2 linked regions of the Ovis aries genome follow. The protein of the gene in region 1 interacts with the protein of each later gene in a pairwise test. Links are inferred from orthologs where the notes say so. Each region holds a gene or a part of one and is shown in the gene's direction. Other genes may lie near its edges.

The links.
Region 2: the proteins of AIRIM (region 1) and E3 SUMO-protein ligase ZBED1 interact in binary tests that used the Homo sapiens proteins (3 or more experiments, as listed by UniProt). The two-hybrid records come from large-scale screens. The link is inferred for Ovis aries from reciprocal best matches to the Homo sapiens genes AIRIM and ZBED1.

What each region holds. Positions count from the first base shown.
Region 1 is NC_056054.1:12,495,811-12,499,299, reverse strand, and holds part of AIRIM (AFG2-interacting ribosome maturation factor), read left to right. Parts: coding exon 1-129; intron 130-2,310; coding exon 2,311-2,482; 3' UTR 2,483-2,598; coding exon of another isoform or gene 2,599-2,636; 3' UTR 2,637-3,489. UniProt on the Homo sapiens protein: Part of the 55LCC heterohexameric ATPase complex which is chromatin-associated and promotes replisome proteostasis to maintain replication fork progression and genome stability.
Region 2 is NC_056080.1:6,131,559-6,135,613, forward strand, and holds the start of E3 SUMO-protein ligase ZBED1, read left to right. Parts: upstream 1-1,236; 5' UTR 1,237-1,319; coding exon of another isoform or gene 1,320-1,428; intron 1,429-2,081; exon of another isoform or gene 2,082-3,161; intron 3,162-4,055. Other genes in the region: dehydrogenase/reductase SDR family member on chromosome X, read left to right, coding at 1,320-1,428.

The sequences.
Region 1 (3,489 bases):
GCTTCAGATCTATGAGCAGCACGCAGACGCGATCGGCCTCGATGCTGTCCTGCAGGCTTCAGCTGCAAGCCCCTCTGTGGCTGAAATGTTGGAGTGGTTGCAGGACATTGAGAGACATTATCGGAATTCATATCCTTTGCACACGTTTCACAGAGCTGTTCCAGGAAGTCTTGTTAATTTCAGTTTTCACCAGATTACACAAAAATACATGGTGTAAGTCAGTTCTCTTTGGTTCCTGGACGTGCATTCCTCCTGCATCCCTTTGTACAGTGATTCCTCAAATCATTTATTGAGCAGATGCCACCTTCCAGGCTTTATTCTAGGTGGTAGGAGCTAGACATTAAAAAGGGGAAAATATATAAAATGTCAGATGATGTTAAGTGTCTTGAAGAAAAATAAAGCAGGGATTGGGGAAAGCAAGGGTTAAGGGTGGGCTTGTAGTTTTAAATAGGGTGGTCAGGGCAGGCCTCACTGCCCTGAAAGTGGTTTCTAAGAAAAGATGTGAAGAGGGTGAGGGGAAGAATCGTGTGGATGTTTGGGGGAAGAGTGTTCCAGGTAGAAGGAGCAGCAAGTGCAAAGGGCCTGAGGTGACAGTGAACTTGGTCCGTTCAGGAAATAGCAAGGCAGCCAGTAGGGCTCGAGCCAAGTGGGCCTGGTCTAACAGGTGATGCTGTCAGGAGACAGGGCTAGGGCTGGTAGGGCCTCTGAGGTCTTTGGAAGGAGTTGGGCTTTTATTCTGAGAGAGACACAAGCTGTAGAAAGTTTTCAGTAGAGGAGTAATCTGATCAGACCTATGTTATCACCCATCTGTGTTCTGAGGGAAGACTTGGGTGGAAGCCAAAAGACCGTTTCACTGGAGTCCGCTCCCTTTTTCTCTCTAGTCTTGCCCGATAGGCGCGTCTACTCTCTGGCTGGAGTTTCTACCTTCATTTATTCTTGCCTCTAGTTTTGATTTTCAGTTTCCTGCAGCTGCCTCCTGACTGGAATCTCATGGAACTGCAGGCTCAAGTGGATGGAGATCAGCCCCCACCCCATCAGCTCCCTTCTTCAGCTGTAGCGTCACGTAGTCTGTAAACCGGAGGGTTGCCCCCGAGCCCACTGTTTGCTGATGGCATCGGTAGCGGCGCTGGCTGCGCTGGCGGCAGCAGCCAGGGCAGGCGTCATGAGCTCTTCCTGTGTGCCGGTGCTGTTGGAAGGGTGTTTGGCTCCACTGTCCAGTCCTTCCGCTCTGTTTCCTTGGTGTTTCTTGGAGATCCCTTCTGTATCCCCACTGCCTGTGCCACAGTCTCACTTGGATCCTTTGTCGCATGCCATCTCTAGGCAGGTTTCTCTGACCCTGGCTTCTTTCCTTAGAAGGAAGAAGCTACCTCGAGGTCGTGGCCACACTACAGGTTTATCTTCAGGAGTCCCTGTTCTGATCCAACTGGGTAGGGCTTCTCCGTAGCTTCTTGTGTCCCGGGGGTGAGACCCCGCACACTGGTCTGTGTCTTCTCCCTCCACCTGCCTGCTCAGCTGCCTTGCCTGCTCCCTACACACGATTCCATTCTGCATCTCGTTGGAAGATGTACTGTCCTGAATCCATTCCGTGCTTCCCCTCTTCTTTGTCTTGGTTTAAGCTCTTCCTACCAGCCGGAATCTTCCTACTGTCCTCTGAAGCAGTGGTTCTCCACCCTTCTTGGCGCTGGGGACTGGTTTTGTGAAAGTCAGCTTTTCCACAGGGACGGTTCAGATGGTAATGCGAGCAGTGGGGAGTGGCAGGTGAATCTTCGCTTTCTGGACCACCGCTCACCTCCTGCTGGGAGGCTCAGTTCCTAACCCGTCTGGCCACAGACGGGTACCAGAGATTGGGGACCCCTGCTCTAGGGCGGATGAATTTATCCTGTGAACTTCCACTGAGTTTTATCTCTTCCCATTTAGAGTCTTTTCAGTTTCTGTTGTGTTTTTTTCTCACCACAGTGAGATCCCAGTTTGCAGGGCAGTGTTTCATCCCTTCCCTGTAGCCCAGAACCTTGTATATAGAGGGGCTCGGTAAAGATCTGTAGCAGAGGTGAGCCTACTGCTGCTGCTGCTAAGTCGCTTCAGTCATGTCCGACTCTGCAACCCCATAGATGGCAGCCCACCAGGCTCCTCCGCCCATGGGATTCTCCAGGCAAGAGTACTGGAGTGGGATGGAGGTGAGCCTGCCCACCTGGTAAATGTAATGATAGCTGTGCTTTTGCTTTTCTAGCTCCTGGGAATGCTCTCCAGGGTATTTTCTTCCTTCAGCACATTTCATTTTCTTTTTGAGCACCTTCCTTAACTCCCAGGAAAGTACCTAAAGAGGAAGTACCTCCTGTCGTCAATCCAATGGGAAGACTTGGCAAACATCCAAGCTTTGCCCAGAGCCTGGGACCGAATCTCAGAAGATGAACACCCGGACCTTGTACGAGGTGCTGGTTTTCATGCAGTCGTTCGTGTCTGCTCCCCTCCTTTGTGTGTCTAGCCTCTTTGGAATCACGAAGAGGTTCCCCCTCCTGGTGCCTCTAGCTTTTACAGATCTGGTGTTTCGTGTTTTCTGGAGAGCTGGTATGCCGCATGTTCTCTCTCTTCCTGTTCTAGATGTCATGTTGAATGTTTCCTTCTTCCTGGAAGAATGAAGAGGCCATGTGTTTATCGGGAGACTCGGGGGACACAGATGAAGACCGACATTGCTGCCCTCTTGTATGTCTAAAAAATGTCAGTACTGCGTCCTGACTTACTGGAAATGTCAGTGCCCAGCGCCTGAGGACTGGCTCTTCAGCGGATTCTGCTGGACATTCCTGATGTTGGGGCTGCTTCATGCTGGGTCATGGGTGAGGGTACATGGTCACACCTTGCCCTTCCCTAAGACTCAGGAGAGTGGACAGAGGCAGAGAGGATGCAGGAAAGGTGGTGCAGAAGAACACCAGGGACAGAAGCAACAGCCACAGAAAGGGCTGGTAAGAAAGGAAAGGGCCAGGGTAGAGAGTTGGCACCACCCCCAGCATCATCCAAGACTCTCAGCCTCATTGACACCAGGTCCTAATTTCCTCTCTTTTTGTCAGTACCTGACTCCTTGATGGAAAAAAATGTCGCTTTGATGATTTAAAGAAGTGAAGGTGATGTTGATGGAAAACTCATTGTCTTCCAGTTGCAACGGCTCCTTGTCATCAGGACACTTTCTAGAGCATTCCACCAGGGGGAGGTGGTGTAGCATGAATTCTGAGTGTTTTGCATTTGGAACTGTTCCCTTGTTGCTCTTACTGACAGTAAGTAACTGGGGATAGTGGGGCTCTTAAAATAACATGGTTTTCTTTTTACCAAAGCCGGCAGCCAATTTGCTACAGGCCCCTGATCTTGGAGTAGCTGCATGGATGGGAGGTCCCCAGTCCAGAGTCAGGCAATCAGGATTGTGTTTCTGAGGCCCAGTGCCTTAATCTGTGAAATGGTTGTGATCCTTGCAGACCTGTCAGCTTCCTGGGCTGGTTAAAA
Region 2 (4,055 bases), on another chromosome or scaffold:
GGCGTGGGCGCGCTCGGGGCGGGAGTTGGGGGCGCGCGCAGGGCGGGGATGCGCTCGGGGCGGGAGTCGGGGGCGCGCTCGGGGCGGGAGTCGGGGGCGCGCGCAGGGCGGGGGCGCGCGCGGGGCGGGGGCGCGCGCCGGGCGGGAGTCGGGGGCGCGCGTGGAGAGTCCGGGACGCGCGCGAGGTGGGAATCAGGGGCGTGCGCAGTGGAGCGGGGGCGCGCTCGGGGCGGGAGTTGGGGGCGCGCTCTGGGGAGTCGGGGACGCGTGGGGGCGGGGGCTTGCTCGGGGCGGGAGTCGGGGTTGCGCGCGGGGCGGGGGCGCGCGGGGGGCGGGAGTCGGGGGCGCGGGCAGGCGAGGCTGGGGCGCGGGCGCACTCGGCAGGGGGGGTGGGAGTCGGGGGCGCGCGCGCGAGACGGGGGCGCGTGCAGGAGGGGCTGGGGAGCACGGGAGAGCCGGGGGCGCGCGCGCGGGGCTGGAGTCGGGGCGCGCGCGGGACTCAGGGCGCGAGCAGGGGCGGGGGCGCGCTGGGGAGTCGGGGGCGCGCTCAGGGCGGGGAGCGTGGGCGCGCGCGGGGGGGCGGGCCGTGGGCGTGCGCAGGGCGGGGGCGCGCTCTGGAGAGTCGGGGACGCGTGGGGGCGTGGGCGCGCTCGGGGCGGGAGTCGGGGGCGCGCGCAGGGCGGGGATGCGCTCGGGGCGGGAGTCCGGGGCGCGCGGGGGGGGGCGTGGGCGCGCTCGGGGCGGGAGTCGGGGGCGCGCGCGGGGCGGGGGCGCGCGCGGGCGTGGGCGCGCTCGGGGCGGGAGTCGGGCGCGCGCGCAGGGCGGGGGCGCGCTCGGGAGGGTCGGGGACGCGCGGGGAGCGGGGGCGCGGGAGTCGGGGGCGCGCGGGGGCGTGGGCACGCTCGGGGCGGGAGTCGGGGGTGCGCGCAGGGCGGGGGCGCGCGCGGGGCGGGAGTCGGGGGCGCGCGCGGGGCGGGAGTCGGGGGCGCGCGGGGGCGTGGGCACGCTCGGGGCGGGAGTCGGGGGTGCGCGCAGGGCGGGGGCGCGCTCGGGGCGGGAGTCGGGGGTGCGCGCAGGGCGGGGCCGCGCGAAGGGCGGGAGTCGGGGGCGCGCGGGGGCGCGGGCGCGCGCGGGGCGGGAGGCGGGGGCGCGCGCGGGGCGGGAGTCGGGGGCGCGCGCGCGCGGGGCGGGGCGTGGGCGCGGCGCGGGGCGGGCCGGCGCGGGCGCGTTTCCGCCGTCGGGCCCGGGGCTCCGAGTCCGGCCGGCGGCGCGGAAGCGGCGGCGGCGGCGGCGGCGGCGGCGGCGGCGGCGGGGCAGCCATGTCGCCTTTGTCCGCGGCGCGGGCGGCCCTGCGGGTGTACGCGGTGGGCGCGGCGCTGGTCGTGGCGCAGCTGCTGCGTCGCTGCGTGCGGGGCTTCGTGGAGCCAGGTCAGCGGCCGGGGAGCGGCGGCGAGGGGCCGGGGCCGCGCGGCGCGGGCGGGGCTGCGGCAGGGGGCTGGCGGGGGCCCGCGTCGCCGGGCCCGGGGCGCGCCCTCCGCCCGTGCAGAGGACCCCCAGGTTCGGGGCGGAGCTGGGAAGGGGCGCGGGGAGGCGGGCGCGTCGGGCGCTCCCGGAAGCAGGCCCGGGCGGCCCGGCGGGGGGAGGAGGCGCGCCCTCCCCGCCGCCCCGCCCGCTCCGCGCGCGCCCCGGGGGCCGGGGTAGCCAGGGGGTCCCGCGCGCCCTGGCCCGGGGGTCGCAGGTTCGTGCGCGCCGCGTCGGGCGCTCCCGGAAGCCGGGCCGGGCGGCCTGCGGGGGTCGGCTTGGGGGAAGGCGCGCCCTCCCCAGCGCCCCGGGGGCTGGGGTCTCTCCAGGGGATCCGTGCGCGCCCCAACCACGGCGGGAGCCCCCCCACCCCACCCCGGGGTCCCTGCGCTCTGCAGACCCGCATCCCGGAGGGAGGCGGGGGCGGGGGGGCGAGATCCCGGCCCCGCGCGGGCTCCAGTAGGACGGGGCCTGCCCGGGTTTGCAGGGACTGGGGGGCTGGGGCGGTGTTGGGGGGCGCGCCAAGGGGCTGGAGGCGGCTTCTAGGGGGTCTAGGAGCCCTGGAGAGGGGAGCTTCAGTTTAGTGGCCGCCGGTTTCTCTGGCCTGCGCCACCTGCGCGGAGCCTCGGGGCCCAATCTTGGCGGTGCGGGGACCCATTCGCGTCTTCACGCATATTAGGGACCCCCCCCCCACCTCCCTTCCCCACCAATCTGGGAGGGAGTCTCCGTCTGTCTGGTCACCTCGGTGTTCTCAGGACTTCGATCGAGGAAACCGGTGTTTCTGTCTGTTCTTGACTTGCAGAGTGTCAAAATAACTCTAGGGTCTGTGTGCCGTAAATGACATGTCAATTTTTTTAGGAGAAAAACAGCTACTTTTGGAAACAAAGTATTCTCTGGGAAGCGCGGTGTCCCGTTACCTTGTAATGACTCTCTTTATTATCTGGGGTAAGAGGAGACAGAGATTCTTAAGTCCAACTGGGTTTTCAAGGGTGTTGGCATAGCCCACACCGCCCTCCCCCCCAACCCGGCAGCCTGTGGGTAACGCCCCTGACCACCCTGGCCACCCCCGGGAGATTGGGGTGGAAAAACAGAAAGGCTGTTACTATGCTTGTGCAAATGCCTTCCCGTGCCTCCACCTGCAGGAAGGCCCAGCAGGGCCCAGGCCTTGCACACCTGCAGCTCTGAGCACTTTTTTTCCTACCCTCCCTGGGTCTTCACCCGGGGAGATACATCTCGCAGGTTTATGTTGAGCTAAGCGATTAGTTTTCTGATAAACTGCATTTTGGTGCTGTTTTTTAAAAAGCACACGGAGCATGACTGGAAAAGACTGCAGAGGAAGGCAGAGTGGAAGGCAGAGTGCAGCTTTGGCACCTGGGCTGACTTGTAAACAGTGAAGGGCTCTGAAGAGCAGTCCCATGTTTGCCCCACACTGCCCCTAAGTTGCAGAGCACCCAGGGGAGGTTGCGGGCTTCCCTGGGGGCTCAGACAGCGAACAGTCTGCCTGCAAGGCGGGAGACCAGGATTCGATCCCAGTGGGGAAGATTCCGTGGAGAAGGGAATGGCCGCCCACTCCAGTATTCTTGCCTGGACAATCCCACAGACAGAGGATCCTGGCGGGCCAGACACTGAACTTTGCCCAGGTATGCAGCTAAATAAACTGTAACCCAGAGGCCCAGTTCAGATGCAGACTAGCTGGGATTTTGTTTTGTTTTGTTTCATTTCTAACGTCTTTATTGAATTCGTTACAGCGTTGCTTCTGTTTTTATGTTTCTCTGGTTTTTTGGTCCCTGAGTCATAAGGGATTTTAGCAACCCCACCCAGGATTGAACCCGATATTGAAGTGGCCAAGTCTTAACCATTGGACCACCAGGGGAGTTCTGTTTTTTGCCTTTAAACATCAGATGTTTTCTTTTTTAACAGTATGTATGGCCTATATAAATGTGCACACAGTATACAATAATTAATGTGGAAATATTACAGGGAGGAAGTCACCAATTCTGACTCCATGTTGGAAGCTATTTTCTTTGACTCGGTTTTTATTATTATAAAGAAAAAGAAGAAAAAAAAAGAAAGTCGCTCAGTCCTGTCTGACTCTTTACGACCTCATGGACTGTAGCCCACCAGGCACCTCTGCCCATGGGATTTTCCAGGCAAGAATACTGGAGTGGGTTGCTATTCCCTTCTCCAGGGGATCTTCTTGACCCAGGGATCGAACCCAGGTCTCCTGCATTCTAGGCAGATTCTTTGCTGTCTGAGCCACCAGGGGAGCCCCTTTATTATTATAATCGTACTCAGTGGCTTGCCCGCAGGACCCTGCCTCTCTGTTTGACTGTCAAATAAAGTGCCTTTGGGGGGCTTCCCTGGTGGCTCAGCTGATAAAGAATCCTTCTGCAGAGCTGGAGACCTGGGTTCCATCCCTGGGTTGGGAAGATCTGCTGGAGAAGGGAAAGGCTACCCACCCCAGTATTCTGGCCTGGAGAATTCCATGGACGGTACAGTCCCTGGGGTCGCAAAGATTCCTAAATGAATGAGCG